2 linked regions of the Lytechinus pictus genome follow. The protein of the gene in region 2 interacts with the protein of the main gene of each other region in a pairwise test. Links are inferred from orthologs where the notes say so. Each region holds a gene or a part of one and is shown on either strand. Other genes may lie near its edges. The genes, in order: arrestin domain-containing protein 3-like and E3 ubiquitin-protein ligase NEDD4-like.

Region 1 (16,801 bases), about 11 Mb from region 2:
CGGAGCAGATGTCGGCGGAGCAATTTTCGGCGGAGCAGATGTGGGCGGAGCAGATGTCGGCGGAGCAAATATCGGTGGAGCAGGTGTCGACAGAGCAACTGTCGGCGGAGCAACTGTCCGGAGCAATTGTCGGCGGAGCAGTTGTCGTATTTTGCGTAGCAATTGTCGGCAGAGCAGATGTCGGCGGAGCAATTGTCGGGTCACCCATAATGTGATAAGTGATACTTGTTCAATCAAATTTCTCCCTTTTTTTTTGGGGGGGGGGGTGGGATAGATGATAATTACATGTACTGTATATTGGATGAATTTATTTCATTAAATACCAGAAATATTCCACTCGTTAGGGCCAATATTCCATTCATCTGCGATTCGTGGAATATTTGCTCAAACTCTTTGGTAGCGGTATTCCATTCTGAGCCATCCAATAAAAACATCTATGGAAAATATATGGTTTATAGGCCTACTGAAATCAATTAAACAGATGAGAGCAACAAAGTGAATGTTCATAATAAATACATTTATGTTCATGTTTGTACCCCCCTAACACAAAAACAATAAATATTAGACCACACCATATGGGAGCTTAATAGGAAAACTTGAAAAATTGAATAATTTCATTTCAATTGGATGTTCTGATAAAATGGAAAAGAAATCAGTCTAATGAAGACATGAGACATTCTAACAAATGGGCCGAGGGTGATTTAGCCGTTGAAATTTAAAAAAAAGCCCATTAAAGGTTAAAATAATCACTCTCCAAACTTCATATAATATTGGTTTAATTACAGTTACTTTGAAAGGGGAAGGAAAATAGTCTGTACAGAACAGAAATAAGAATTAATTATTATTTTGTCACCTGCATTCTTCAGACTTGAATAATAGTGCAATAGTAAACATACATGTAGTGTAGCCTAGTGCAACATATCTACATGTAATTTACTTCCAATACACATGTATTTAAATAAATCACACATTGAAAGTCTGCTGAAAGTTATCTATAAAACGCCTACAGAGTTAATTTCCTTTGATCAATATATACACATTAGTCACCAACATGCTTATAAAGACAAAATTTAATTTTCAATCGGCACAAATGCTTAAAATCGGGTTCCAGAGATGAACAAATATTTGAATAAATACATGTACCTTTCTTTTGAAATCAGTAACTATTCAATAGCCTTATAATCCAGCCTGTGTTTAATTTATATTACATTACATTTCCATTTGATTGTTCATTTTCTTTAAACATTAAAATATTAAAGGATATCTTTAGGTTTGGTAAATTCCCCAAAGTGAATGTAACTATTCCATTTCATTACTATATTATATCAATGCTAATGCATGAGCCCAAAAACGGTTGTGGTGTGAGGGATATTATCTAAAATTATGTTTTATTGGATAAATTTACAGAGTTTAGATCAAATTTTAATCCAAACCCTAACTGCTGGAGAAAAAAAAATATATATTTTTATTTATAATTGGTTTTTAAAAATGTAAGAATGCATTCAATGACTTGAACACCTTTGTATTTATAATGTTCAATGATACTAGAGTAGAGTTCACATTACTGACCATTTACCAAAGGTAAAGACAGGCTTTAAATCATCAGAATATCACTTCCCTGTACATGTACAAGTACAAATAAAAAGTACCAGTATGAAGTTTTCATTAACAATGATTATCATTACAAGTTTATTCTAAACCGATAAAATGAACCAAAGTTCCTGACTTAAATCTACACATTTACAGGCATGCCGTTATTAAAGTCAAGCAAGAAAATAGAGAAAACTTGCAAGTTGCAAGGCAATCTTATTTCTAAAGTCCAAATTGGATGAATGAAACATAATGTAAGAATTATTTGGCTTTTAAACTCGTTGTCAACGTCCTTGACACTGTGAATTTCTACATTTCAGTTTTTTGTGCGACCAGCAGCAGCAGAAGTAGGGCATCGATGGACCGACCAGTGCAGCTAAGGCAATCTTATTTCTTTTGATTTATGTTCTCTGTACGTGGTTCATCTATTTCACCAAATATGTGCATGCGAGTGAATCGATATTCAGTTTTTGATCACTTTCTAATCTGGTATTTGATCTCAGGTCAAAGAGGAGATTTTGTTCTTCCAATCTTCCTCTTAACCCAATAAAAAGACTGGGCTATTTGAGATGTATTTAGCAATGCCCCCCTGCATTAACTACAAGCCCCCCCAAAAAAAATCCATTAATTATTTATGAATAAAATATGTAAACTCATTCGTCTAAAATATTATTTGAATATCTACATCTAACATCCAATTTTACTTAAGATTTTCACTTTTTTTCCCTGATGTCATCTTTGTAATATTATTTGAATTGGATTTAAAGACAAATTAAAACAGAATAACAGATACATGTACCCCAAACCTTTTTAACAGGTTAATGTCAAATTTGAAAAAAAAGAAAACATATTTGAGGACCTTCTATTGAAAGAGTTTTCTTTATCTGGCACACTGTAAAATGAATCAACAAAAGTATTATGATGGGGGGGGGGGGAAGTGAAATAGGTGGCGGTCAATGGGGGGGAGGAAGCACAAACATACCTGAGGGGTGGGCAGGGTGCAGAGTTCCCCCCCCCCCCCCCCGACAGAATTTTGATGAACTTCAATAGTTTTCAGAAAATTTTGTCAGTGCTGGAAAATGCTTCAGAAAATGGGGAGTAACCTTTGACCTCCTTCTTTTCTTTGTGCCCCCCCCCCCCTCCCACCCACCCTGACAAAGAAATATATTTACAGGGACGCCACTGCTGGAGGAGGGGGAAGGAGTGGCTCCCCTAACAAAATATACACAAGTGTTGACACTCACCAAAAGTTGAGGTGTATTGATATCGATGTGATCAATGACGGTGAATGCTCTCTTGGTTTTGCTATTGAAGCCCCATGGTTTATCAATCTCAGCCTTTAGCCAGTAGCGTATCCTGCCATACTTTCCTTCAAACGATGTGGCAACTCTCCTGTTAATACACACAAAGAAATAAAGAGAATAACACAAATTCGCTCATGAATTTGAATTACGGATTTCAAGCACTCTTTATTTACACACAAAGAAATGGCATACATGATATAACACTCACTCATAAAATTGAATGTGTGTTCAAGCCTCAAAGGAGAAAAGTTAATTACTTCTCCCAAGAACCCAATAACTAAAATTGCTTTGAGGAGCTGTGCATGGTAATAACTTGAAATTGGAACACAGAAAGGTTTTTTTTTGCTTTTTGTTATTGGTTTTTGCTGTTGGCGTTACAAGGACTAACCCAAGATCCCAACAACTAAAATTGGTTTGAGGAACTGCACAAGGTAGCAACTTGAAATTGGAACACAGAAAGGGTATTTTTCTTTTGCTGTTACAAGGACTATAAACCAAGAACCCAATAACTCAAGGCCTGGTCCCACTGGCCGACGGACACAATACGTATTCATAACGGATACAGTGGACAAGCAAAATTTCGGGGTGGCTCCATCCGCTCCAGACAATGGACAAAATGGGCGAACAATGAAATCACAGTGGACGGATGCTCGATGGATATACATGTAGAGCGTATGAAACACCTATGCAAAGAGTACACAACGGATACAGAACGTTTTCCAACGGATGATAAGATTACTTCCTGTTTTACATCTTCTCTGCATCCATAAGTGCAGTGGGACCAAGCCTTGAAGATTGATTTTAGGAACAGCAGATGGTAACAACTTAAAATTGAAACACTTGAAGGGTTTTTTGTTGTTGCTGTTACAAGGACTAACTCATGAAAATTCTTGCACCAATAATTCCGCATCTTGCTAAATGAAGATGTTAATTAATACTCCAATATTTGACTTTGTTCCCTTTGATCTGCAGAACCGAAAATCCAACAGCAAACCTACAGGAAACATAAACCCTTATGCCTTATCCTTATCCTTAAAGGGATGAATTATCTTTGCTGGAAGTAGACCGATAACAGACAAAATGGAAGTCTGGTGACAAATAATTGAAATTCCCATACATCGTGCATGAGGGCACCCTGCGGGAAAACTGCATGGGTGGCATATGATCGACAAAATAAGCCTTGCTTAATTAGGGTAAAGGTACAATCTTTAGGATCAAGAACCACAGACTGTGACTTTTGCTTCAAATCATTATCATTTGTGAAAAGATAATTTCTTGCCCTATAAAGCATATCGGTCCCTGAGCCTGAAATGCAAATAAACTACAGCAGAGTGTCCAATGTGATATGCCCCGTTTTAAAAGAAATAGTCATGCTAGTCATGTAACATACCATACTTACCAGGAAAAAATTCCAAAGCTACTTTTTTAGTTCAAGAGCCCAATTGTGCTACAGTGTATTACAGTTTATATTGCACACCATGGAAATTTCAGGGGCTCTTTTTCCAGGACTATGTAGGGCACTTTGTGGCGGGGGATCTGCCCCAAGCTCAACATGTATTTTCTCTCCATGGTACTTACCCATATGGGATTTGAAAGCTAAATCTCAGTTCATGATGGCCTGCTCTCAGAACGGGATTACTTCCACCTTCATCTTCATCTAAACAGAAAACCAAAGCAAAGGTATAGTTTAAAGACAAAGAGCTCTGGTGTAATGGCATTTAAAAGGTGTTTGCAAACTTTGTCATTTGTCACAAGTCAATATTTCCCATAAGGGGGCTCTGCTACTTTGAACAATGTACATATGTAGAAGGCAAAAGTACTATTAGACTCATAAGGTAGCTAGCAGTCTCCACTTTTCACAAAGTTGCAGCACTTGCTAAGGGCCCTGTTCACATCTGCCCATACACGTACCTGTGTGGAAGCAGCCTATCACAAATTTCTCATGTGTGTACACTCATTGAGGTACTAAGATTGACTTTAATAGATTCTTTTAAAAAATATATATATATCTTCCATATTCATTCTAAAAAACCTAAAATGTTCTAATTTTCTAACAATATCCTTATTTAGCACAGCGCTGTACATGTACAACTAAAAAGAACACATGCTCATGCTGTATGAATATTTTGGTATCACTATTCATTCATTTCAGAGTTACAGAGTCAACACCTTCAGTCCTTCAGTCTAATGCCATTCCGTCCATCAATCTTTCGTCTAACAACTTGGTCCAATAACCATTTGATTCAACCATCACTTTGTATACTCACCAGTACATCTTATAACCTGTTGGTCTAATATCCATTTTATTTTCATTCAGTTTGCCCAATTTTAGAACATAGTCCAATTAGACCAAATGGTATATGGACTAGATGGCTTTTTTATACCAACTGGTTATTGGACGAAATGGTGAGTGCACGAAGTGGCAATTAGACCATGTGGATGGCTGACGAACTGATGGTAGACCAAATAATAGTAGACGAGTTGGGAATTGGACAAATTGGCATTAGACCAATTGAAAATTAACCGTCGGAGGGTAGGATGATGCACAGACTAGATCTATGGCTAATACACTTTTGTTTTGCTAATGTGTGAACTTTCCCTTAGAGCAACTGCAGAAGGAGCAAATATGCTGGAACCGTTTAATCACCTTTTCCGAATAAGACTTGTTTCATGTAGAAGTACTCCTCCTCTGCATCATAATATTTGGTGTAGGATCCTGTTTGGTGGCCTCCTCCTCTTGATTCACTCCAATGTACCTACAATAAAGACAATTAAATGGGGGAAAACAATAAAATAAAGTAAGACTTAACGAAAAAGAAGAACATGTATAGTAATCCACTAAGATGGCATTGGCAAATCACATAATCTATGCTTTAGTTGAAGAGGCTTCTCATACAGCCTATCAATTTGTACCAGAACGTATAAAATTATTACTTTGGCCAAACAACCTTGCACTTGAAGGGTATACCTATCATGTATGATGTTTAATCATTTTAAATGGTGACCTCATCATTATTACCATGATTATTACACCTTAGATAACATTTATGCTCAACATTACAAAGAATTGCAAACATGACAATTTTAAGGTACTAAATAAAGAGTTCATGAAGGAGGCCTTTTACATGATTATAGAAAATCTATGTTTGCCTATCTATCTGTTTTATGTACAAGTACACTGTACTGGAGGCCTACATGTACATGTATGTTTGATGACTGTCTAAAAGGCATGGATGGAAATTTTAGTTGCATGATTTGCATCCATTTAGCCAGCATTTTTATATACAAATTCCTATTATCAATCCATGGACAAATTTAGGTAACAAATTTTTCAGGAATCCATCAAGACAAATGATTAATGACCCATAACTACCCTGGAAAAGCCCCTAAGAGTTTCAGGGTAGGGTCTATCAAATTGGTGAAACTACTTCAATAAAATAATATTATCATGTTCAAAATGCTAAGCTCCACTGAGACATCCAGCCCTGGACAGCACAGCCAGCCAGTTATCTACCAACCTCTACTTCTGAAGTAAAAGCAGGTCTCAGATTTTTTACCTTGGCAAGTCCACGCATGTAGATGCGGATACCTCGCATTTTCATGTCCCCTCGAAGGTCGACAGCAACATGTCCCGAGACAAACTCTCCTGCCGAATACACATTCTTGTTGTTGTCGAGCACAATGTGGAAATCCTTCAGTTTCACCATATTGCATAATTACACAAAGGAGCCGCAAACACACAAGTCCTGGTCCTCTTTAATAAGCACGTCTTATCCTTTAATCTGCTTGTTTGGGGACGGTGGGTGGTGCCTAGTCTACAATGCATCAAATATCTTAAAAATGCCATTCAAATGTCTCAAATCATTTCAGGTACATTTTTTGTGGCGACACCGGTCACTGCGATACATGTAAGCTGCATTAGATTCCACAAATAAATCCTCACACCACTCCTGGTCATAAATGTAGTCTTTGTACATGTAACCTGCTCGGTCTCATTCTAAATTTGTTTAGAAGATCACTCACAAATTGTTGTTCACAAGATGAAGTCTAAACATGATGAGGAATGACCAATATAAATTTTAAATTTCAGCTGTCACTGTTTAAATTGTGGAATTGCACCATGGTGTCAAGGCCCCCAATTCAATAGACCAAACATTAATAACATGCCCAATATACTTTATTAAGTTAAACTAAAAAGTATCTAACACCACATTATCCTTCAGTCTCAGACCCTATAACTTGTAAGTTAGACATTCACAGCCAGGCAGGCACAAGCTAAAACTAAAATATAAAGTCAAAACAAAATGGAAAGAATTTTTAATTTCTTGGCAACTATGAACTAATAAATCTTGGATTTGCAAATCTGAGATTTTTTATGAACACAGGCACAGCTCAGGTAGCTTAGTCTTAGATCTTGATCTAACTTAGATCCTATTCCTAGCTGTTTTTAGTTTGGTTTATTTTCTTGACTCCAGCAATGCTTTGTTGACATAATTTACATTTCACTTATTGTTGTTGAGCTATGCTGTCACTGTCTCCTGGCTGTGCGCTGTCATTCAGCTTTGTGATTGATGATCTTGGTGCTGATTGCGGGCTGGGCACTGCACTGTAGTGTAGTGTACCGTAGCTGTGCCACAGGCACAGTGCAGTGACAGACGTCTGACTCTGCGACTGCGGGTTATGCCTGGCTAGACTCGGGACTCGGACAAATTTACGTGCTTTTCCCAGGTTTATACATCTGCTCCAACCAGTGAATTCACTTAATATCAAAATTCAATCAAAATTCGGGCTGGCTGCTTCCGTTTCCAGATTCAAAGAAGATCCTTTGATGAGTTGGGCGTCCTTTTTTCTTTTCTCAGGGACTCAGCTGATTATTTTGATATTTACCATTACGAACAGTAGATGGCGCTAGTATTTGTACTATAAATTTTGTAAGAGAATTTGTTCAGTAATCCCGGTATTTCATGTGTGATGCTTTTCCCCGGTGTTTTTCATGTTAATTTTGTAATGATTCCCAGGAATGATTTTGAAATGTGTTTGTAGTCTCGTGGATAATGATGTATTTATTTGTTTTTATACATGCACAAGATCTTTATTTAAATGATTCGTGATTGCAATCTGCCATTTGAAGAGGAAGAAAGTCAAACATTAAGACTAAATAAAATTGTTGATTTTTTGTTTTAAAAAACCTGTTGTTTCATATCATTCTTATGATAATTTTGCTGTATGTCTGAAAAGATGGAGCAATAACATTAAAAATTGTAGAGCGGCATCAGCCATTATGCTCTCGAAAATGAAGGCCGGTATCGTACATTTTTTTATAATGTGTGCGTCCCATAAAAAAAAAACGTGAATCGAGAACTATCGATGATTTATATAATCACAAAGTCAATACAATTGGCCTTTAAAGATTATAACATCCTCCTCTTTCATCTGGTATAAATCCTCTTCACGAATGAGTGATCAAATTACCAAAAACTCACTTGGCGGGTGGTATCTGAGTTTCCAAAACAAATCATATCGTGTTTTAAAGTTAAATATCTGCTTTTTTATTTGATATCTAAGTTTACCGGGAAGTTTACTAGAAATTTCAAATGGGCCAGGCAGAAATAAAGTTCTATTCATTATAAAATAAAAAGGTTTAGAGCAGGGATTCTCAAATGGTGGCGCGCGCGCCACTTGTGGCGCACCGAGCCTTGCGGGGTGGCGCTTGGGAGCTGGTATTTAAAACAAGTAAAAATAAGGAAACATTGGGGAGAAAAAATGTATCTACCAGTAATTACCTGGAAATAAGGATTTGGTGATCATTTTAATACAAAGAAAAAACAAAAACTCTTTACTTGACACTTAATTGCTAATTTATTTCCTCATTTTTTCCCAATTTAGCACTCGATAACCCCCATTATAGAGGATCGATGGTGTTCTCCCTTTTATTCATTCTATGCTGTACAAAGTTTATGTGCCACACAAGTGATTTGAAAACCCCGTTTGTAGGATTTCTATTTCAACGGCGAGAAATTTTGCATTTCCAGCTAGAGTATACGTTTTGGTTAAGAGTTAAACATCAAATAATGTGATATTCAAAGAACATCCTGATCATAAAAAAATTATGAATTTGAGACATAACAAGCAGAAACTTTGTTTCCGGAGCCGATTAAAATCTGAAGTTGTAAAAGTGAAATACTATGCTCAGATGTATTGCCTGCCGAGCTTGCCTGCATGCACATGGATGATACTGCACGTGAGTTGTAAAGAGAAAGGGGCAGTTTGGAGCGCTAGTGCAGTGCAACGCCTAATTTTCAGCCCTTGCAAATCGGGGTATGTAACTTCAGCCACTGGCGTACAGATGGGGGTGGGGATTGGGGGGCCAAATGTTTCACGGCCGAGATTTTAAAAAAAAAAGGAGAAAAGGAAAGGGAAAGAGTGGAATATTGTATTATTATCTTAATATTATGTCAAAATATAGATTTTTATATTGAAAAGTTCAATATTTTTGCTTCAGCTGCCATATCTAGCCCCCTCATTTTTTTATTCATTACGCCACTTGCTTCAGCCAATAGATCTGGTGCAGAACAGTCTGAACTAGTGGTATAATATTGTATGTTGTGAAAAAGTCACTGGTCATTTTTCTTTTAATATTAATATTGTACAGTTTGTTGGCATTTGTATTTCTTCTGTTGATATTAATTAGAGCCCCTCTGGCCAATTTAAAAGGCCTCATATTCCAAAACTTCTGGGGGCTCTGCCCCCTCGACCCCCACCAGGGGCCTCTGGACCCCCTCCGCTGATACATTGCTGGTTTGCGTAATGGATAGTGGAGCATTACAGATTCTCGACAAGAAATGTGGCGCTTCCAAAAAAAGTAATTGAGAAAGGCTGGTTTAGAGGATAGCTGTTAGACTTAAAAGATTTCCGATCGCACTTCGCGATTGCAATAAGTTGATGAGTGATCGAGATACCTGCCCTATAGCTTTCTTCATCAGGGTCCTGTTGCACACTGTCAGGAAGGGAGGGGCTTTGGGCGAGCCCACGCCCCCCCCCCCCCCCAAAAAAAAAAAAATGAATAAATAAATTTAAAAAAATAATAATAATAAATAAATATGAATAAAAAATAAATCACGACCAAGGGAAAAAAAGAGAAAAGTAAAGGGATAACTGTGAAATGTGATATTATTTTCTGAATGTTATGTCAAAATCTATTACAAACTTGGATTCTTGAGATGAAAATGTCGAAACGTGTTTTTACACTCGCAACTTTTATTAATTTTACGTGATAGGTCAAATCAAGCCCCTCCAAATTTTTGGTTAATAAACGCCACTGCCTATGCTGCCCGTTGCATGAAAGTTACCATTATGGTAACATACTTTCCATCCAATTAACTACCATGGTAACAAGTCTCAACAGCCAATCAGAATCAAGGATTCAAGTCAACAGAACCCGTATTTATCAAGTATTTACCTCCCTCTACACTCGTTATAATATTGTTTGGTTAGTTTCACATCTACTTCACCATAGGCGCTTAGAATGTTCTGTCTTCGGGTGTAAATTACAAAAAAAAACTTCAGACACGGCGATCACATGAACTATTAATGATTATGACCTTAATTTGTTTTGCAAAAATAAAGCTAAATATCTTTAGGCCTATACAATTTCAGTGTTTAGGACTACCCGAACTCCAAGGCCTAGCTCCCCCCCCCCCCCCTTATTGGAAATAAAAACCCTGCATGGATCTGCCCCTATCGTTTCTCACTCCTTTCACGAGATCATGCCCAGTGGACTGGTAAAATGGGGGCACAGGACCAAAATCCAATTGAAGCCAGTTGTGTGTATTTGAGTTTTGTCAGACGTGTATCAATCAGATATGATTATTTACGTCTGGGACCGACCTTTAACGTCACCATCCGAAAGACGTGACCAGGGCTCGAACCTCTGCATCAATTTGTAACTTCCCCACAGCTTGGATTACAGGCGCACGCCACAACGCCCAGTTTGATTTCAAACTGGTTTTAATTGGTTTAATTTAACTGGAATATAACAGTTTCCAATTGAAACCAATTTGAACCAGGCAACTGGAAATTCTAACTGGAACCAGTTGAGTATAGCTGGAAATGTCTTCCAACTGCATGGAAATGACTTCTTACTGGAACCAGCATGACCAGTTGGGTAACTGGAAATCCTAACAGGTACCAGTTATGTACATGTAACTGGAAATCCTAATATCATATTTATATTCGAAGCTCCTCAATATAAATGTATATGTGAAAGCCTAAATTTTAATAATGCCCTTTATCATTGGTATCAAATTGGATCCAGCTAGATGAAACCAATCGGGTTTTTGCCTCCAATTGGAATTGACTGGTTTTAATAGGGAAATTTGAACAACTGGAACCAATTGATATGCAAATGCCTAATTGGTTTCGACTGAAACCAATTGAAACCAATAGCCAACTGGTTCCAGTTGCCTTAACTGGAATCAATTGGCAACTGGTTTCAATTGGAACCAGTTGTTCCAATTTCCCTATTGAAACCAGTTGGCCAACTGGTTTCAACTGGATTTGCTCTAATAGACCAGTTCGTAGTTACATCAGGGACAATTTTGGTCAAATGACCTTTCATTTATTTCATTATGATAGGCAGATTTCAAAGCAGGATATAACATATGCATGCCTTACATAGCAGGATGAAGAAATTGAATTATACCAGGTGACTAGAATAGCACACCATTGAAGACTCCATGAAGGTATTTGTTGCATTTCTACTTTGAATGCATATTATAGCATGTTGTACAATGTACTTGGCAAACTGCAGTGAATATATGCTAGCATATTATGTTTATTATGTTATGAAAAATGTATTATACGAATGTTATGGATGCAGAAGAAAACAATAAATCAAAATCAAATACCAGTCGTGGACGCATTTTTGTTCTTTGTGGATGCAAATGAAAAACACAATTGAAAAGAATATATGAATAATCAAGACACCAAAGCTGGTGCTTATCTCATTAAATTTTAAGGCCACCATGCCACTTTAGTACAAATGACCTTTCTCTGATCATGCGCAGAATGGAACTACGAACTGGCTTATTGGTTTCAACTAGATTTTGGACCGGCCGGGGGGGGGGGGGGTGAGCTGCGTTTGGCAAAATTCATAGAAAGTTGCCGCGAGTAAAAGTTTTGACATTTTTATTACAAATTTTGTGATAGATTTTGACATTATTTTTAGAAAGCAATATATTTCACCCTTCTCTCTTTCCAGTTTCTTTCCTTTTCTCTCTCTTTTTTTTGGGGGGTGGGCAAGTGCCCCCTATCTGTACGCCAGTGATCATACCGATAAGGTTAGTAAGATCGTGTTCTATCGAAACTTAATTGGTACTCCAGGCAGAACCACTGAACAGCTAAACTCACACAAATAAAACATTGAAACTTATATCAAAATCGGATAAGGAACAAGTTGTGAATTTTAATTACAGGCGGTGAAAAGTAAGTTCTATGCACGTCTTCATGAATATGCAACAGGGTTGGCGATTTTTTTTTTTTCATTATTTTTTGGAAAAAAATCGGATTTATTTGATTTAAATCAGATTTTTTTTTTATTCGGATTTTTTTTATTTTCTTTATTAAAAAAAAAAAGAAATTCTAAAACAAAGTGGAAACATAAAAAATGTAACACATACACTGAAATCATTTTCAAAATCATATATTTCACAACTCTAATTATTATTAGCTTCTATTTTCATAATCAAATCCAATCAAAATAATTATGAAATTATATTTATTAGAATTTTGTCCTCCAACAATGAAAAGAATGGATTGAGTATAATTTTATTAATCATTGGTGCAACTTGTTTTGCTACCCGGGGAAGCTTACACACATGCATGAATAGATCTATATGAGATGATTATGAATTCATGAAATATCATATGAAAAATGAAGGTGGAGAGTGGGGACATATCATCATCAGCCCATCTATTAATGATTGCTTGAAGGTGCAGTTTAAAATTCAATAACAAAGGGTGAAATAAAATAAAAAAATCGAAATAAAAACCAATATCACAATTATTTAGAATCGGAGAGTGTTGGCGCCCCCTGCGTTCATTAGTGATCATATGACGTGGATCTCTGCGATACTAAAAGTGAAAAATCTAGCTAAACCATCGGATTTTGTACAATATTGAGCTGAAAATGGGAATCAAATTTATTTCAGTTGATTCCCTAAGGATGCTATTTTTCTTCAACGCAATGTTTTCGAAACTTAATAGTTCCCTGCATTATTTCCTGATTGGGTTTCTTGGATGGCAGCTGGACTTGGCATTAGCAGCGGATCCTGATCCCGTCGGCGACGGGCAACCTCCGGCTGGCAAGACAACTCCTACGGCTACGCCACATTCACCGGGCTCTAACCTCGGCACTTCCAAAATACCGACCGCAAACACAACTTCGTCACATGATGGAAAATTCGATTTTGGCGATGTTTTGTATGACAAAAGCATGCTGAGAAGGAGTTTCTTTGTGCTGATTGGATTTACGTTATTAGCTATGGTGTTTTTTGCTGTCAGATGGTTCAGGTAAGAAATAATAATAAAAAAAATAAATAAATAATGAAAAAAAAACATGATTGATCTGTTTTCTAAGTTCGAATCAGATGAAAAGGGCTCAAATTATAAAACACATTTAGCTGGTTCCAAGAACATGAAGAAGGGAAACTATAAAGGAAGATCAAGGCCTTAAAATGTACCAGTTAGCCATAACCTTGTTCATTGAACTGCTTAACTGTTGAATGAATGCAGTTAGCTAGTCTTGACTTGAGGACTCCATGATGATGTTTTTTTTTCATATTTTGACATATATTACTTCATCATGGAGTCTTGAATCCCCGTCCATACATGTATATCTATAAGAGACACATGTACACAAAGATGGATTTCCTTCAGAGGGTGAAATCGGTTTGTATTGTCAAATTTTATTTATCTATGAACCTTCAGGCGCCTAATGCGTATAAAGGGATAAAAATTATTTCACTATAAATGGTAAAAATGAGACGTTTCTTACAGACCCGATCTCCCGTGGATCCCTCGATCCGTTTGTCAACAAAGCAAAGACCATAGACCTGACCCTTGAATCGCTTCGTGATGACCTATGACATACATCCGGTTAGTGGTTAGCTAAAAGTTATTACGTAATTATAAATAATTAGTATAATACTGCTAAATATTTATAATCACGTAATAAATTTTAGTATTTGTGAAATAATAATTTTTATCTATAAATTGTTCTTCAAAACGGCTTTGCTTACTGGATGTACGTCATACATAAGCGGTTCAAGGATCGACCCTATTGTATTTGCGTTGTGTACATTTTGATCGAGGGATCTACAAGACATCGGTCTGGTAAGAAACCTTCATTTTGTAACATTTCAATTGACCATTTTTAAAATCTTCCTATGCATTAGGCGTAGGAAGGTGTAGAGATTAATAAAATCACAACAATTTACGTGATTTTTATATCAAAAGCTGGATTTCCTAGGGAAATCCATCTTTGTTTAAAAGTGTCTCTTATACATATATGAAGGGCGGTTCAAGACTCCAATGATGAAGAAGTTTAGTCAAAGTATTTAAAAAAGACATCATCATGGAGTCCTCAAGACTACTGTTTCACAGCCTTCCAACTATGGTACATGTAACTACATGTATAGATACATTCATGGTAACTTAAAATGAGGAAACCTTTATTTTGAGGCTACATGTATGTTGAGGCCGAGCCATTGTAGACTTAAAGTTGCCAGAATGGCAAAGTTACCTTGGTTAATTCAGAACGGGCTTCTTGTCTTGAAGGAATCTTCACTTTAATTAAAAGAAATTCAGATACATATGTCACACTCTCTTTATTTGTGTTTTCACAGGTCAAGAGGAAAGAGAAAGTCCAAGAAATATGGGGTACTGGCAACACGTTCATCAGACATGGAATTACGACCACTCGACCAGGATGATGATGAAGAAGACATGACAGTGTTTGACGTCAACTCAAAATAGTAATAATTTATTTACACACCACAAACACTTTAACCTATCCAAGCATTAAAAAAAAAGAAATACATGTAATTTGCCTTGAAGTAAACAAGATGCATGAAGCACATTCCCTAACATATTTGTATGTACTAATGCATTCTTTGTTACTTATTGATATGCCAAGATGGACTTGCATGTACATGTATGTAAGATGTAAATGTATCAATTTAGGGGAATTTTGATAGGGGAAGGTTTATTTGTTAACCCTGGGTATTGAATACCATTTGTTGTGTCAAATTTTCATAGTATATTTATTGTGATTGGCAGAATGCCAAATACAGCCTCCCCCCCCCCCTCCTCCCAGTCATCTCTCAAAAAGCAAAGGTGCTTATATAACTACTTATATGTTTAAAGATCTTTATTATTATAAGATGTCATTTGAAAAGGAAGTTTTAAAAAATTGATGTACTGAATTTCTGCACCATGTGACTTTTAATTATTATGGGGTCATATTGGATCAAGTATCATTCTGAGAGACTTGATCTTGCATGTGCATTACCCATGATTCCCTTGATCTCCCTGGCCCCTTGCTGTGGAAGAAAACTTGCAGCTAGGAGTAAAATATACACCTTGCAGTCTAGTCACTTAAAAGGGGAAATTTCATGCTTTTTTGCAGCCAGGGGAGTATTCAATCCAATCCAACATTGGGAATTTAATTATTTCTATGAAAGAAGCAAATGGTAAAAACAGAAGTCAAGAGGTGGAAAGAAATTGGACAAGGAATATGAAAGTCAATGCTGATTGAAAAGTAAGATCACTATAAAGACAATGTAAATACATGTACAATGTATGTCAAATTAGCAATTTGGTGAGAAGATAATAGGTGGTAAAAATAACTTTCTCTGTAAGGCACCCTTCCTGCTGTCCTGCATATATTAGATAGTATATTTATAGGTCCTCTCTCAAGAAATATCATTCACATAAATTTTAGAAGCAAATTCCCATGTGTTTTCATGGGGAATTTTACACTATTGGGATCTAAATCACTCGGAGTAGAACAAGATTTATTACCAGCAGACGTTGTGTAATGCTACTGGAAAATGCCTTCAAAGTTGGCTGAAGCTAAAAAAGCAGGCTGTGACAAATAATTTCTTGATGGTAAACCAAGTTAGCTTTCCCCTATTGGATGTCTCTTTTACAGGCATTACAAGTGCTTTTCACAAGGTCTGGGGTCAGAAAAAAATAATCCACTTCCCTTCAAAGCTGATGCAAATCTGACTCTTAAAAAGCTGATATTTTAGTGATTTCATCAAAGCAAATGGAGTAATCCTTACATGTTCCTGTATCACAAATAGTGACATCACTTTTGCAGTCAAATTTAAAGCCCCATAGGTACAGTATTATGTTTCATAGCAAAGTACTTTCTTGGCATTGAATATAAATGAAAGTTGTTGCAGTAAACACTGATTTGAGAAAATCTGTAAAATCAAGGTTGTCACAATATCATCCTACATTAAAAAAAAGTATCTAGTTCTGGTACAAAACTGAATTGTATAGTGGAAATGTGAAAACTAAGCTGAAAGACATTCAGAAGATCACCAACACAGATAAGCACATTTGGGGCAGTGTATTATGATCGCTTGAAAATTGTCTTTGACAATTTGCCACAATATTGTGCTCATTTTGCTAATTTCTTAGCAATTACACCATTTCTTCCAGATTCCTTGGGCTTATGCTACCATGTTTTGTAAAGATAAATGCCAGTTGTGGTGATGGTTTTCAAGATGATTTTGTACAGAATCTAATCGATTGACCACCCAAGTGTCTGTATACAGTCATACAATGTATACAGACACTTGGGTAGTCATTTGATTAGATTCTTGAAATACATTACCACA
Region 2 (16,903 bases):
TCTCTTCTTGGGAGGCATGGTGTGACACTTTAGGAACTTTAAAACTTAAAACATTTAAAATAACTTGCTTATTTCATAACCGATTTTGATGAAACTTTTTTTTAATTGTTCATCTCATTTTACTCTAATATGATTTCTCCTCTTCTTGGGTTTTGGTTTCCTAGACTAGACGTAGATTTAAAATTGGCAACTGGGTATGACAAGGGGCAAGGCCAACTTTCTCATAGGCCATTTACTTAATTATCAGGGATTTGTGGCTTTCTACCAAGTACCCCTTACCCTGGGGCAGTAATCTAAATATTATCAAGATAGTAGGCCTATATTTTTTTATGTCCTCATGAAAGAAAAATATAATTTGAAGTAAAACTTTTGAAAAAATTACATTTTACCCATTTTATGTATGGGAGTACATGGAAGAGTAGTCCTTGGCCTTTACATCACATATGCAGCAAATAGACCAGTTCGCAGTTACTTCATGGACAATTTTGGTCAAATGACCTTTCATTTCTTTCATTAAGATAGGCAGATTTCAAAGCAAGATATTACGTATGCATGCCTTACATAGCGGGATGACGAAATTGAATAGACCAGATGACTAGAATAGCACATCAATGAACACTTGAAGGTAGTTGTTGCATTTCTACTTTGAATGCTATTAGAGGATGTAAATGTACTTGGCAAACTGTTAAATATACCAGTCATTCATGGATGCATTGTTTTTTTTGTGGATGTGAATGAAAAACACAATTCAAAAGAATATATGAATAATCAAGACATCGAAGTTGGTGCTTATCTCACTAATTTTAAACCACCATGTCACTTTAGTACAAATGACCTTCCTCTGATCATGCGCAGAATCTTCTGATCATGCGCAGAGTGGAACTACAGACTGGCTTATTTGTAGTCTCCATGGGTATAGTGATTAACCAATTTTTACAACTTTTAAAAATTCATAACTTCCTTATTATTCGTCCAATATTGTTCAAACTTTCACCTATCAACTTGTCTGATTTTTCCTTTTCCTCTAAAAACAAGTTTTTATTTGGGTTGCATTCCCAGTTTAAGCGATGAAAATGCATTATTCTTTATAAGCGTTCTTACTTCTAACAGCATATAGGTTGTTGTTTTGGCTTCAAATATTCCTCTTTTTCTTCTTTCTCCTTCTCTGTCTTATCCTTTTATCCTGTTTCCCCTTCTTTTCACTCGTCACACTTTTTCTTCCTCCTATCTCTCTTCATCAAGTTCACTCTTTCTATCTCCCCTCTATCCTCTCTTCATTTCAGTTGTAAGGGTGTGTGCTTGATCTATTTCAATTTTCTTTTCTGCAATCACCAATGTATAATCGTTTTATGTAAATTTGATTGTGATATGTTATATATTGTGTATCTGTATTGTAATTCTTATATTAGACCTGTACTTCGTCCTAAAAAACCGAGTAACCTGGACTTATTTTCGTTGTTTGTAATTTCCATTTGCTTTGTTTTGAATAAAGGTGATAAAAAAAAAAAAAGTCACAACAGCGATACTCTCTCTCCTCAAACCCAGCCAGGCAGGCCTACCAATTCGAATTCACTGAGACTTCACAAATTATTGATCAGTCAAAGAATAGTCTCTATCTTCACAGACCTTCACCTAGTTTCAATCTCTCCCTCTCAAACTCTCATCTCTCAATTTCAGCTAGAGCTGTATTTTTGTCAAATCCATCAGGAGAAATTTTAGTTTTTTCAAATTAACACTGGTAACATTGTCAATTTCTTTTTCTACCACACTCTTGAAACATATGGACATTCATTAAAGATTTCATGCACAAAGATCTTTGCTTCTGAACATTCATGTACATGTTGGTAGCCTATTATACTTTAATATATAAGAGCAAATTAGATCATTTCTTGTTGAGGCATCAAAATGTTAGAACAATCCATGTATTTATGTAGTATGTACATACATGTACATGTATAATATACAGTATTATGTGTATAATACCAATAGTATTTGTGAGTTTTCTTTAGAGCACATTATACACACACACACACACACACAGATGATTCACAAATTTAAAATAACTTACGATGAATGCTTCTCAGCACTCACCACATAAACAGATGGGTTAATATTACAAATGTAAGTATAACTGGCATTCATATTTCATTCCCATCCTGGACTGGCTTACAATATTTTAAATCATGTTTTATTTCATAAACCATACACATCTACATGTACCACTAACTAATCAACAGTACTTGGAGGATTCCTAGGAACGTGATGCATGATGAGAATCTATTCAAACATACCTTGCACCAAATATATCCTTCTTAGCCAGGTCTTTTCCTTCTATAACTCTCACTTTCAAGATCCGGGTAGTTCCAGGGGCCTCCCCCTGTATAAAAAAGACAAACACAAAACAAAATAGAGATGAGCAATGTGTCATGGAACACACAACCAAATCAAAATCTATTATTTTTCTGATTCAAAGAGGATGTAAGGACAAACCCCAATTGTCCCCTCAATAATGCAACCTAATTTTATTCTCTTTGACTCTCTTCATCACAAGCATCACATGTCCGGGACTACCCCATGAAAAAGGTATGCATGATAAGGTCCAACAGAAACTTACAATTCCCTAGAACTAGAATACTTGAGGAGTAGTACGCCTAATATTAAATGTTAAAATGTACCAATTTTGTGAATGAAGCTTATCTCATTAAAAAAAAATGTAGTCTTGACTCCTTGCCATCTTTGCCTAAAAAAAAGGTAAGATTTTACAACAACTTTTACTTGCTAGCTGCTCAGAGTCCTATCACAATTCCTTGATCTACATTATCATAATTGAGAGTTTTCCTAGTTTCATTACTGGAACTCACTGCATGCAAAAAAAAAGACCCAGTAAAATTCTATTCAGTGATGCATGGATCATCTGTTCTGACAATGTGTTATGGTATCCTCCAGTGGTAGATCCAGCATCCCCCAGCATTTTTGTTTAAAGGAGACAATAGAAAAGTGTATTAAAAATGTTGTCCCCCCCCCCCCCCCTGGCTGCATCAAGGTGGAGTCCAAGAGTGATTTTTTTGCTTGTAAAGGTTGTGGGCAGGGTAGTTGTTATGTGGTCACCTAGGTGTGGTATGTCCCTACAGAGTTAAATAATATACAAATGTTCACTCTTTGCTTGCCTGTGATAATCTGCCTGGCGGAGGTGTACTTAATATCTCAATCTGCGGGCTTATTTCTTTGTTTAACAATAATTTGTAAATATTAAATATTCAAATAAGAAAGTTTGCATATAAAAGAAATTATATGAAAATAAATGAGTTTACAACAAATTTAAATGAGTTTCTATGAATAAGGGTAAGTTTCACTAAATAATCATATAGGCTAAACCTTTCAATGTAAATCAACTGAACCATAGCCTATAATCTAAAGCGGAGGCTGCAGTTATTGTCTTTGCTAATCTGCTGAACGCAAGCGATATGTCTGATGTGGCAAAGACTACGAATTGTGGATGCGAAGCATCCACTGCCTATAGACACCCTAACAAATATTCAAGTTTATTCAAAATGACGAATTTATGGATAATTCCACAACCACGCCTAATATGGCTTACCAAAGTTACGTTCAACCATCAGATACATGAAGTTGCAAAGAAAAAGATTCTGCTCGTCCATTACTTAATGGGGGTAAAACAAATCAGGAGATAGGGATACATAAACTCAACGTCTGCAAAACAATGTTTTATATTTTTTTTAACAACCATTAAAATAAAAGATTAAATATTTTGCTAAACTATAGTCTTCAAGTATATTTGAGAGACATGACGTTGTCAAATTAACGATTATTAATTCGTACTTCCCATGATCTTGTCATTTGACATGTTGTGGTACCGGAACCGGTACCTGTATTCCTGGTCATGTGTCAACAATTAAGACATCTCCATCATAAAAGACGTGATTGCGAAGATAATCATAACACAGAGGGATTGCCTGGTAGATAGCGCTTTTTCTATATCCTGTTGGTAAAGCGACAAATATATCCTCCCGTCATCAATAACTACTTTAACTAGGCATGCCAAATTTGTCAGCTCCATAATCCAAACTTTCTCATAGAAGTTTTTCACGTGTACTCGTACTCGCCATTTTGGATGAAGAAAGTGACATCATGGCTTAACATATGCATGAGAATTTTTCGTACGAAAAACCAGCGTTATTTCATTGTCAATATTAAAAAACAAAATCCAAATCAAGACGGGTGTCTATAGGCGGTGGATGCTTTGCATCCATAGTTTGTAGTCTTTGCCACATCAGACGTATCGCTTGTGTTCAGCATAACAGCAAAGACAGTAACTGCAGGCTAACTGAACCATGAAATGAACATGAAGGGACAAAAGATCATTGCAAATAGTAGGCCTATTGTGTAAGGAATGCAAAGCAGGAGATGAAGGGATGGTGATGTAAAAGGAATGAGAAGTAATCAGATATTAATGTTAAGCATGAGATAGATAAAGGAGGCAAATAAAGTGGTGAGAAAAAACAAATCGTAAAGTCAAAGGAAATAAAAACAGTCAATTCTTTGTCTTCAAAATAAACTTCTACAGCAAGGAGATCTAAAAAAAAAAAAATAGAGAAAGAGAAAAAAAAAAACAATTGAAACAGATGAAAAGAAGAAACGAAAGAATAAGGAGAACAATAACAAAGAAAAAAACGGATATATAGAAGAGAAAAAACTATTGAGAAGAGAAAGTAGAATAAAAAGCCCTCAAAATAAAAGAGAAAATGAAAATAAAAATAAATGCAAAAGAATAAAAAGATAGGCCTTAAACAAACAAAAAAGAAAAGAAAAAAGGGAATAGATCTAGAGAAAAAAAAAAGGAAAAACAGACAGAAAGAACAAATTATAGATTCAAGATTAGTGGAAGTAATGAAGAAATAAATAATATATTGAATAGTTTCTGTGATCATGTTTCATTTTAATGAAAATGATTTTATATCAAGCACCCCCTACTCGACTTTAAACTACAGTATATATGTGGTAGAAATGGGAATTTTTTCACATCTTATCTCTGTTAGTAACTAAGCTACAAGATGCATATAGAGGGCGGCATAGCAAAAAATTATTTCACTAGGGATGTCTAATCTGACTAATGTCTACATAATAAAATATTCCATGGAAGTTTCACGGGTGTTATGCCTTGCACTTTCCTGTGCACGACACCTGAGTTGGAACCTTGAGTGGTCTCAGCCTCAGTCTAAACTACATGTAGATCTAGGCCTAGATCTAGATAAAGTTAAAGTCTAGTCTAAGCCTAACAAAAATCAATTGGATCTAGATCTAGAAGTTCTGAAACTGCTGCCCTTTTTCACTTTAACCCTTAGACTATTGGGCAAGACTTCCAGTTTCATATGTCCCCTCCAGCCTCCACTAAATTGAAAAAAAAAATATGGAGGTTTATCAAGAATTATCTAACATAAAATCTATAAGAGATTTAGGAAGGACTAGAAATTTGACGTGTCCAAAGGACACAGATGCCCCCTCTTAACGCGATCAGAAATTCATTCAATATGATTATACAGAGTTTAAAGTGATTCATCCCCATAATATATAGCCTACCGGTATATCTTGTGATTTATTTAATGAATCGATTTTGTAATAATTTTTTGGTCAACATTGTGAAAGTGGCAGAGTGGTCTTGAAACTTGTCCACCCATGGCAATCTGAGCCCGATCATAAATATTGCATGAGGAAAGAGGGAACCAGTTGTGTGAGGAGCTTCACATCGTAAACAAACTACAAAGCCTTTCGCATCAATTACTTTCAAAATCGCCAAAGTTTCTTTACATATCGTGGTGAAATAATTTTTTATAATATAAATTCGATTTGTTGACCAGTTCCCAAACGCACGGAATGGCCGGCAAACCCTGCTAAATGATCTTCACCATACCATGCACATCCACACTGATCCTGCAACATTCCACGCAGGGCCTACAGTGTACACGGCGTAGTCTACTCTAACTAAAGTTAGGCCTAACGTTACACCAGTTTTGGCATGAATATCAGCCAGAGCGGTCGGCAGTTAAACCCGTGAGCGGTACGGCGGGGGCAGCGGCAGGGAAGCATAATCGACGAGAGTAGGCCTACCGGAATTTCTGGCGAGGACTCATAAAAAAATTTGAATTTTACTACAAAAAGTCATATCAATCAACTTATTCAGTACATCGTGAACTCACCTGCATTTCGGGGAGACCATATATTGTTGCCATGTACAAATAGTATTTCTGGTAAGTATGTTGTCAATATTTTTGACAATAAACTTTTCCGTTCCCACCCTCGCCTTCGTCGATTCTATAAATAACTCGATGAATTGCGCCCTCAACGATATCGGGCGAGAATTATTTTTTTTTGGAGGGGGGGGGCGGGGGGTATTGACCAGACAGAAAGAAACCGGTGGAATCCGTGGAGAAAAAAATAAGACTAAAATATTAAATAACTGAAATAAGATTATTACACAAGCGCATGAATAAGCCTATATCAGTTCTAGTTTTTCCTTCATTCTTTTTCAGTCTGTAGGTAAGGCTAACCCGGGCGAGAAGAATTTATTACGAAATACGATGATTCATACAAACTGTAAAACTTTTGTAGATTTCCACATGTATACGTAAGAGTGACTTTATCAACTAGGACAATTGTTCAAAAAACTGTCTTAATAAGCCAATTAAATATGTATATATTGACAAATTTCACTTCTCCAGATAGGATTCATACGGATATGGATCCGTATACCGGATCTATCAACGGGCATGCAGGGCATGCATCAGGGCCCGCATCAGGGGCCCGGGGCAGCCCCGGGGGCAGCAAAGTGGGGGGGGGGGGGGGGATGGGGGATGGGCTGACCATGCAAAAAATCACAATTGGCGGGCTCCCCAACTGGTGGATTTCATCGGGAAATTAAAAACTTCCAATTTAAATTTATTTACAGAAGAATTTCAATACAAGATTTTTTATTTAAAATTGGAGTAAAAGATTCTCCTTTATGTAATTTCTGTGAAAACCACGTTCAAACAATTGTTCATCTATTTCTTAGATGTGAATATGTAATTTCATTTTGGTACGAAGTTCACGAGTGGTTGAAGGCCAAGCATATTAGAAGTACATATTTCAGTGACATTGACATTTTTGGAGTTATAACCCTCAATAACTTTCATCTTATACCAATATCATTGTGTTGTTTGCAAAATATGTCATCTATTCATGTATCAAACCCACTTTTACTCATTTAATTTATGCTTGGTTTGGAAAAAAATCGAAACAACTGAGAGAATTATTGCTTTTAAACGTAATTTGATAAACGTGCATCGAACAAAAGATATTTTGTATACAAAATGAACCATTTATTTGAATTTGTTTGAAATGTGTGCTATTTTTTTTTTATTATGTTGTATCTGTGCATGTGATACCTATGTATGGAATGAGTTGAGAAATAAAAAAATCTTGAAAAAGAAAAAAAAAGCGGGAAGTGAAGGAACATTGTATTATTATATTAGCTTGCTAAATTTTATACAATAAGGTCGCAATCAGGACAAAAAATCCCAAGGGCTAGACGTACACATCCCCTTATTACGTGATAGGGCCTATGACCCTACCGTAATAAAGCTTTACACTGCATGCATGGCAAGGGTTATACCGTACAAACTAGTTCATCTACCTTAAAATGGCTCTATCAAAGGGATGGTCCGGGCTGAAAATATTTATATCTTAATACATAAAGTAGAATTTACTGAGCAAAATGCCGAAAATTTCATCAAAATTGGATAACAAATAATAAAGTTATTGAAGTTTAAATTTTAGCAATATTTTGCGAAAACAGTCGTCATGAATATTCATTAGGTGGGCTGATGATGTCACATCTCCACTTTCCGTTTTCTTATGTTATTACATAAAATCATAATTTTTTCATTAATTCATACTTGTGTGAATAACATGTCTCCCTTATATCACTCTAAAAACACTGAGTAAAATTTTACCCACTATTAGGTAGAAAGGGAACATGCATGTTTGCTGGGTATTTTTTTTACCCCATATTGGGCTATTTCAACGCAACATTGCGTTAAATTGACACCATACTGGGTATCTTTTTACCCAACCAACATGCATGTTCCCATTTTACCCAATATTGGGTAAACATTTTTTAGAGTGATAATTAAATAAGTTGCAGCAATAAATATCTAATGCACTAAATCAGTTGTCAATCCAATTTTTCTAGTTCTTGGAGGAAAAAATTTGAATAAACCTAATTTCATATTATAAAATACAAAAGAACAAGTGTGGATGTGACTCATGATGACTGTTTTCACAAAATATTGCTAAACTTTAAAATTCAATAACTTTGTTATTTGTAATCCGATTTCGATGAAATGTCCAGCATTTTGCTCAGTGAATTCTACTCTATTTATTAAGCAATAAATACTTTCAGCCCGGACCATCCCTTTAAGGACTCTTAATTCCTGCATGCGGGGTTCTTGGTTCAACAGCCAAGGGGAAATAAAAGAAAGTAAAGAAGGCAATAAAACAAAATGAAATGAATGGAAAACAATGATGATATGTTATTTCCTGAAATTAATGTAAAAATCTATCACATAATTAGAATTTCATTTCAAAAGGCCAATTTTCTTCTGGCTCGATCACTTGGCTCGCTGGCGACTTTTTACAAATTTTCCCACATTTGCTAATCAGGGGCCGCGGAACCGTGTACAAAAACGTAAAAATGACCATATGATTGTGATTTTTAGCATGGTCAGCCCCCCCACTTTGAAAACCGTTCAGCGGCCCCTGTGCTTAGTGTACACCCTAAAATTTGGTAGTTACGGAACTGCGTTAAATCAATCTGTTGTGTAAAAGCTATATGTATATATATATCCCAAATGAAGCTTCATCATTTTTTGTTGGTAAAGTTATATTTCATAAAAATCCAACCTTCATGTGATTGTAATTCAAAAGGTAAGAAAATTCTATTTTGAGGAATAGGTCTATAGCTATAGCATTGTGTTTTCGCAAAAAGCCTGATTTTTGTTTCCCCTTCTCTCGCAAAGCGAGGAAAGTCAAACTTCTACCATTTAAAGTTTGTGAATAAAAATGGACGTGTCAAGTGGGAATAATATACTGTTGAATGATTTCAGCCCGGCACAATCCAGGAGCCTGCTTGCGAACATGGTGAAGGGAGAAGGAGAAGCTTTAGCACCAAAGCTCAATTTGAAGTTTTTTAGAAAACTTTATAGAATGACATATGCCTACATTCTGTAAAAATGAGAAGCCCGCTTGTTCAGGCCATATAGCAGAGCAAGTTCGTAGCAGACGTTTCAACAGGTATATATATATATATATATATATATAATATATATATATTTGCACCCAGATTTTTATTTATCAAAGTTAATTCAGTTCGCACCACATTGGTCTAGCGCCATCTACATGTTTTAACGATCCCATCATGCACTTTTCTGAGTTACATCCGGTTTAGAGTCATGGAGGCTGTCCATCAAGCGAAAAACCTTCTTCGACAAGAGCTAAAGAAGAGACTGAAAGCTCTTTCTGAGCCAGAGAAGGTCAGGCAGTCTCTTTACATAACAAAAAAGGTTAGTGAACCGATAAATCATGTTCAATTCTGTAGGGAAAAGACAAATATTTTACCTGAGATTGTAGCAGACGACGCATTTTAATTTTCGGTCCCAGATGCTGCAATTCATGTCAACTTTAATTAATATAAGACACGTCTATGCCATTATACATGTTGTATTGACTATTATCATGTCAATGTTTGTCTGAATTTATTTTCCAACGGCAACGTGCAACGACTCTCCTAACCCAGAGAGTCGTCCGTGTAATACTATTCAAACATATACTCTCCAAAATGGGGTCGGAATAGCACTTCAAATAATTAAAAGGGGAAAAATAAATTATGCATTTACCTCGATTATATGGATGAAGGTCTATCATATTGGCTATCGTTCGTAGGATGAGTGTCATGACACAGCTATCTTGACATCGAGGCACAAACTGGACCCTCTAAAAAAGGAAAAGTTCCGTCTCGTTCGTTTTCCTTCTGTCAAAATTAAAAACAAAATGGCCGATCAATACCATCACATCACATCAGGTACGGAAATGAATAGACCAAAAGCTTCAGTCTCTGAAATGTTGGTTGTTCCGCTGAACTATGATGGCTCATGATAGTATTAGTAAAATGTCAGAAATTGTTAGATAAATCCCCAGAAACGACGGTTATTCCTGTCTAGGAAATGAAAGACTTCTCCTGTAGGTTTTCCGATCTTTACTTCCGGTGGTTGACCATTATCTAGACAGTTTAAACTTGTGAGACTTTACGTGCGTTGAGAAATGGAGGTTTTAAATCTTTCCCCCCACCAAAATTTATCCAACAGATGTTTAAACATTTCCACTGATTTAGCTTCCACTACTTCTGTCGGCACTTTGTTCCAGTCAGAAATTACTCTTTGACTAAAAAATTTACTCCTAAGTTCCAGCCGAGATCGTCCTGTGAAAAGCTTGAACTTGTGACCTCTAGTTGATGAATGGATTACTGGTGTGAAGAATGTGTCACTCGAGATCCCAAACTTTCCATTTAACAGTTTGTAAACAGTAATCATCTCCTCTTCGTCTTCTGTAAAACAGTGAGTGAAGGTTTAGTCTCTCTAGACGTTGCTCATACGGTAAGCTCTGGAGACCAGGAATCATGCGAGTAGCTCTCCTTTGCACCTTCTCTACTTTGTCTGCATCCATTTTAAATCTCACATGCCATAAAATGTTCCCATATTCCAGATGAGGTCGAATCAGAGATACAAACAATATTTCAGGGGTTATTTGAGAAAAGGTTCTGTGTACTATTCCAGACTTTGGAACTCCCTCCCCAACAGCACAGTTAATTGTACCTCTCTACACATCTTTAAACAAGAGGTACAAAAGACCCAGCTCCGTTAATAACGGTGGTTGCTTTTACTTGCACGCTGTAAGCAATTTTTTATCGAATAATGTACATACACTTGCACGCTGCACTTCACCAGTACGACAATACACCAGACGGTGGACTGTACTGTTTCCAGAAGAAGAAGAAGAAGAAGTATTTGGTTAGCTTTCAAAACAGCTGCTGAGACATGTTGGCGAAAATTGAGCTCTTCATCCATAATAAAACTGAGATCTTTCTCCTGCTTACATGGTTCTAATTCATCTCCATTCATAGTATAAACACTTCTTGAATTGGTCTTTCCAATATGTAGAACCTTGCATTTTGAAAACTTGAGTTGCCAGGTTTCACTCCATTCGACAGCATGAGTAAGATCAGCTTGAAGAGTCTTTTGTTTAACATCAGAGCTGACATCATTGATGATTTTGGTATCGTCGGCAAAAATATACACAGAATTGTCCAAAATATTAGGTAAATCATTTATAAAGATGACAAAGAGAATGGGTCCTAACACGCTCCCCTGCGAAATGCCGCTGCTTACCAAGGTACTTGACTCCAATCAGAACTTTCACCGTTGATAGTCACTCTCTGTTCCCTTCCTGTTACAAAGGCTCTTATCCAAGCATGTAATTTTCCAACTATACTACCATATGACGTTAATTTCTTGAGAAGCCTCTCATGAGGAACAGAGTCAATTGCTTTACAAAAGTCTAAATAAATGACATCAATAGGAATTCCAGCATTAAGTGTGTGTGTCATTTCTTCCATTGCACATAAGAGCTGTGTCATACAGGACCAATTTGGAGAAAATCCATGTTGACAGTTTGAAAGTAAACAATGATCCATCAGATCAATCAGGAGGTTCCTGGAGAGTAAAAATCATTTACTAACGTAGGCTTACTCTCCACGGAGCCAGGGATTGCGTCCCATTCATGTGTGTGTACTGCGAAAAAACAGGAACTTTCGCCCCGAGCATGCTGTGATTTTTACTTTCTTTCTAAAAGATCTAGCCCTAAATCATGTAAATGTGGTATATTTTCATGAAGATCCCCGACATTTCTACGATATCGATTTCAGTCAGTTTTAAACAAAAATTCAGTAAAAGAACAAGAAAAATATTATGAAAAGACGGGGAAACTTGCTCGATGTTTACGCCGCCATCTTGTTTCTTATTGTCCTTCGCCAACGTTAGCGTCTGTAGATCTCCGGGATCAGCTGAGGAAGAAGAGGAAGAAGAAGGAGAAGAAGAAGAAGAAGGAATTTGGAACTGAATACAGAGTCAAAATGATTTTGTTCAGCATATTCCCTAAGTATTCTAAGTAGTAAGAAGAAGAAAAAGATGCTCCATGTGACTGAAATTTCATCGCCAGATGCAAAAGTGCCCTAACTTGTGTGCCAACAATTTGTTGCCTCGACATTATGTTGATCTAGGGGATATGCTAAGGGCTTGATTTTTTAGCCAAACTTGATATTATGCCTTCCCCCGCTGCCATTAAATCTACCATCAGACCAAGCCTTTACACCATGTCAGACAAAAGTTAAATTAAAACACTGCACATTGAATGTTCTGGACCCCCAGAGAAAGATTCAGTGATCACTTCACATTTACGATTGGAATGTTAGATGATAATCAAGTATAATTTACTATTTTCACCATTAACCTCAGCCCTAGTCTCAATTTCCATGTCGCTAGTAGTAGTGTTTTCCTCATATTCAAGGCAGCACTGTGCCTGCACTCCTCAGAATGTATTGAGGAGTTTCGATTGGATGAAGCACTACTCACACTAGAAGAAGAAGCATCTAGACTATTTGGAAATTCATGTATTTTTGACTCAATGAATGACATTCTTTAAAGAAATCCCCCTCCCACCACATTAGATACATAAGATTACATAGATGTACTTTACCTGATATCTAAGTACAACTTTTCATGTTATTTTCCCTATGTTATGAAATAATGAGAGCAAAACACTGCAAGGACACATTTTAGAGTGATTTCATTTGCAATAGGGAGAATGAATTATATGAAAAGTTTTCGAAAGTGGGCCTTATGTGGAGTGACCAAGCTTGCCATGGGGGGCACTTTGGCATTTTCTTAAAAAAAAATCGTTTGAAGGATTTTGTGCACTTTTTTGGTGAATTTTGTGAAAAGTCTAAGTAAAATATGTAAGATTTCAACCCCCCTACTTCGGCCATGAACTCACCATCATTGTGAGTATACTAGTATACTACAGAGGGTCTGTATAATCTAGCTGAGCTCATTTACTTTTAATCACTCTGGTGGTTGACCACAGACTAAATTATTATTTTGACTGCTGGAATACATTGTAATTTAACTTTACTTTTGTTGATACATCTTGCACTTATGATCTTCGATGCAGCTAATGTCACACCCTGCCTACCAGAAAAGTCAGCGGATATCAGTCTACCTGGCCATGAAGAAAGAAGAAGTGGACACGACTGGTATCCTTCAGAACATGTTCACCCAGAATAAATCCTGCTACATTCCTCAGTACATTGGACCCAAGATGAATATGCTGAGGATGACCTCTATGGAGGATTATGAAGCTCTGCCAGAAACAAAATGGAAGATCAAGCAGCCGGCTGATGATGATGAGAGGGAAGATGCTCTGAAAACAGGTTGGTTTATCTCTTTTTAAAACAAATTAAGAACCTTCCTTACCCTCAGAAAAATTCATAAAATCACATAGTATTTTGTTCCTGTTAAAATTGATATAATTGTTGTCTGCTTGTCTGCCTGTCCTGTGATATTTTTTTTCTCTAATTCTTGATTTTACAGGACAGGATAGGGAAGGTAAACTGATATCCGTTGAATTATGTGTGGCCATATTCTTTGTTAAAATATGTTTTTAAAACATTATGAAGTTCTGGAATTCCCCGTTAGGATATAGCCCTTGGTCTCTGTTTTAGAGGCTTCCAGGATTGGCAAGCGAATGTTTGTTCAAACACATATATCTGGTATTATCATTTTGAAGATTTCAGGATCTCGCCATTTCTTTATAGTTTGATTATTAATTTCGCTTGAAAATATGCATCATTTTTGTGGCATGTATCATCCACCAGATCGTTAGTGAAGAAATTTGTAGTTTTATATTTTTTTTGGCTAAATAAACATGTTGAATAGCCTCAAGATCTTGTATGGATAGTAAAACCTTATTTTCAAAATTATAGAATGTAACTGAATAATAATAATAATTTAATAATTCCTGTCTTACATTTCTAAGAAAGTGTTAACTACATGAACTGTACATCCAACGAATAGCCTTCAATAGTTCAATCTTTGATTAATTTAATTAATTTTTAGGAGGTCTGGATTTGATTATTGTCCCTGGCCTTGGATTCAGCAAAGAGGGTCATCGTCTTGGGAGAGGAAAGGGATACTATGACATCTACCAGAAGCGATGTTTGGAGGAATCTGGAATCAAACCGGTTACAATCGCCTTGGCTTTCAAGGAACAGATCTGCGAGAGTATACCTGTCACAGACAATGATGTCACAATAGACTACGTGCTCTATGGAGACATGGATGACTGATTAAGCTTTAGAGAAAGCAAAGGTATACTCTTAAAACTCAACAGTATTTTGATTAGAAAATTGAAAGATCGATGGGGTTGCTCAGGATTTGAAGAAAGAGAAACATGATAATTTTTTTCTTTCATCTCTTTCTGTCATGTTGCTGGATGATAAAATTGAATGATTGACATGGATTCAAAATAAGCAGGGATATAGTCAAGGGCAGCATCAAGGCCAGATTTTGCTGGCCTTGGCCCAAGTCTTGTGTGTACAGTGGTTTTCTCCAGCCACCTCTTGACTTGAAAGTACCGCCCTTAACTACTTCCCTGCAAATAAGCACCAAATTATTGCAGTACTGGTAATCAAAGGAATAATGTGGTTCCATGCAGTTATATTTTTATCAGATTTTGTAATTTTGATAACATTTGATTGACTATGTCTAAAAGCTCACCCATGATTTAAAAAAAATACTATTCTTGCCTCCAAGCAGATTATCATTACTATTATCAAGATCATTTCAGTACTAGGGGAGTAATTTCTACTTGATTTGACTTATTATTCTTTGCTTGGAATATAAGAAGCTGAAATCATGTCAAACTTATTCTAATTGATAACCTGTTAGGGCTGGGTAGTTCATGTACAAAGCCTATGAGAATTACAAAAATGCAGTACTTAGCATTATTCAAATGATTCCGCATGGTACAATCGGTTTAAAAATCATCTGCTATTTTTGGTAAGTTAAGAATAATATGAACATGTCCACAATCATTTCATTAATTGTTTTGTTGCTTCTTATTGAAGTTTAATTTTTTAGAAAAGTAATGAAGTGCATGTATTGTCACATCATTAGATATATTCTATTACAGCGATATAGTGTGAGTAAATATGATGATGCCATATAAAAAAGGTGTTGTTTTTTAAGATATGCATAAATCCCTTTTTGGGGATGCTTTTAAAACCAAGACCAGTCAGCAGTAATTATTTACTTACAAGTCATCACTGGCCATACATAGATATGTGCATTATGAATTAAAAAAGACAAATATTTTTTTGATAACATTTGACTTGTAATCATGTTTTTCTTTGATCTTCTGTAATAATCTTATTTGATTTGTATCAAGAGAATATATCTTACATTGGTGTAGAAACAAGATTCGATTTACAAACTAAAGAGATAATACTTATAGGGTGAAATATATATATATATATATTTTTACATTTTCCCCTTTCCTCATTCATATTTTTAAATATTAGCTTTTTCCTTCTCATTAATTGTTTACTCTGAGTAGGAGGAAAAGTGCAGTATTTACAACAATATTTTTGACAAATTTGATCTCTGCAGAGTCAAATGTTTTCTTGTTTTAGTTTTTTTTCTTCATCTAAGAAAAATCTTTTAATAAAATTAACAATAACAAATTAACTGTCTTTATTACTCTTTATATACATATGCCTATTCTTATGTGATATCATTAAACCATGGTCACTGTACATCATCCAATTATTGTACATTTTCAGTAAATAATACCTGGAGTTTTAAAATTAAGAATATATCTTTGCTGGGTAAGTATTTTAATTAAAGCATATTCAATTTAATTCTAAGAATTATACTTCACCAAGCATACGTTTAAAACCAAATTATCACCTTTATCAACAAAGTGATGTCATGTACTTGATGCAATGCCAGTATCTCATTGTATTAATATAATTTTATCTGGCTCATATCAAGGCCTGCAAGATAATTATATGAGCTGTCAGCTTTCGTTTATAAAAACGAATGACCTCATAGCTATTAACTTGGTAGCCTTTGGGAATTTTTTTACTTGTATGAATTAGCTGAGAGGAAGTCTCCTGTGTAAAGAGCAATACATGGATTTGATGTTAACCCCTGTAGCACAAATATTAGTGCTGGATTGTAGGGTTGATTTTTCTGCAATCAACCACTTCAATAAGTGATGTGATCAATAACCAAATTTTGTATTACAGAGCCCATATATCAATTTAAGCTAGAGTTATAAAATAATTCCTGTTTTTGAAAAGTTTGTGTTTCATATTTTCTGTGTTTTCATTCAACAATTGACCCTTGTGATCAAGTTGAAATTTTATGGTCCCATTAAATTTCACAATTTATTTTTCTGTTTAGTTGAAAATAAAGTTTTATTTGGTTGAAAAGTTTGTGTTTAATATTTTCTGTGTTTTCATTCAACAATTGACCCTTGTGATTAAGTTGAAACTTTATGTTCCATTAAATTTCACAATTTTTTTTTAGTGTTTAGTTGAAAATAAAGTTTTTTGTTAGTTTTGAATCCATAATTAGTTGCCATTTTTATCTGTACTTTATCTCATGTGAGATATTACCTGATTCAATTTACCTACTGTATGGATGAAACTTTGTATTATTTGTATTAGTTGCAT

What was found.
Region 1: the proteins of E3 ubiquitin-protein ligase NEDD4-like (region 2) and arrestin domain-containing protein 3-like interact in binary tests that used the Homo sapiens proteins (3 or more experiments, as listed by UniProt). The link is inferred for Lytechinus pictus from reciprocal best matches to the Homo sapiens genes NEDD4L and ARRDC3.

The regions. Positions count from the first base shown.
Region 1 is NC_087249.1:17,116,349-17,133,149, reverse strand, and holds the start of arrestin domain-containing protein 3-like, read right to left. Parts: upstream 7,819-16,801; 5' UTR 6,602-7,818; coding exon 6,452-6,601; intron 5,651-6,451; coding exon 5,542-5,650; intron 4,552-5,541; coding exon 4,473-4,551; intron 2,983-4,472; coding exon 2,835-2,982; intron 1-2,834. Other genes in the region: membrane protein FAM174A-like, read left to right, coding at 13,138-13,463, 14,798-14,927. UniProt on the Homo sapiens protein: Adapter protein that plays a role in regulating cell-surface expression of adrenergic receptors and probably also other G protein-coupled receptors.
Region 2 is NC_087249.1:27,693,700-27,710,602, reverse strand, and holds the start of E3 ubiquitin-protein ligase NEDD4-like, read right to left. Parts: upstream 6,339-16,903; 5' UTR 6,249-6,338; coding exon 6,216-6,248; intron 2,378-6,215; coding exon 2,292-2,377; intron 1-2,291. Other genes in the region: 5-formyltetrahydrofolate cyclo-ligase-like, read left to right, coding at 9,507-9,617, 13,339-13,597, 14,283-14,512. UniProt on the Homo sapiens protein: E3 ubiquitin-protein ligase that mediates the polyubiquitination of lysine and cysteine residues on target proteins and is thereby implicated in the regulation of various signaling pathways including autophagy, innate immunity or DNA repair.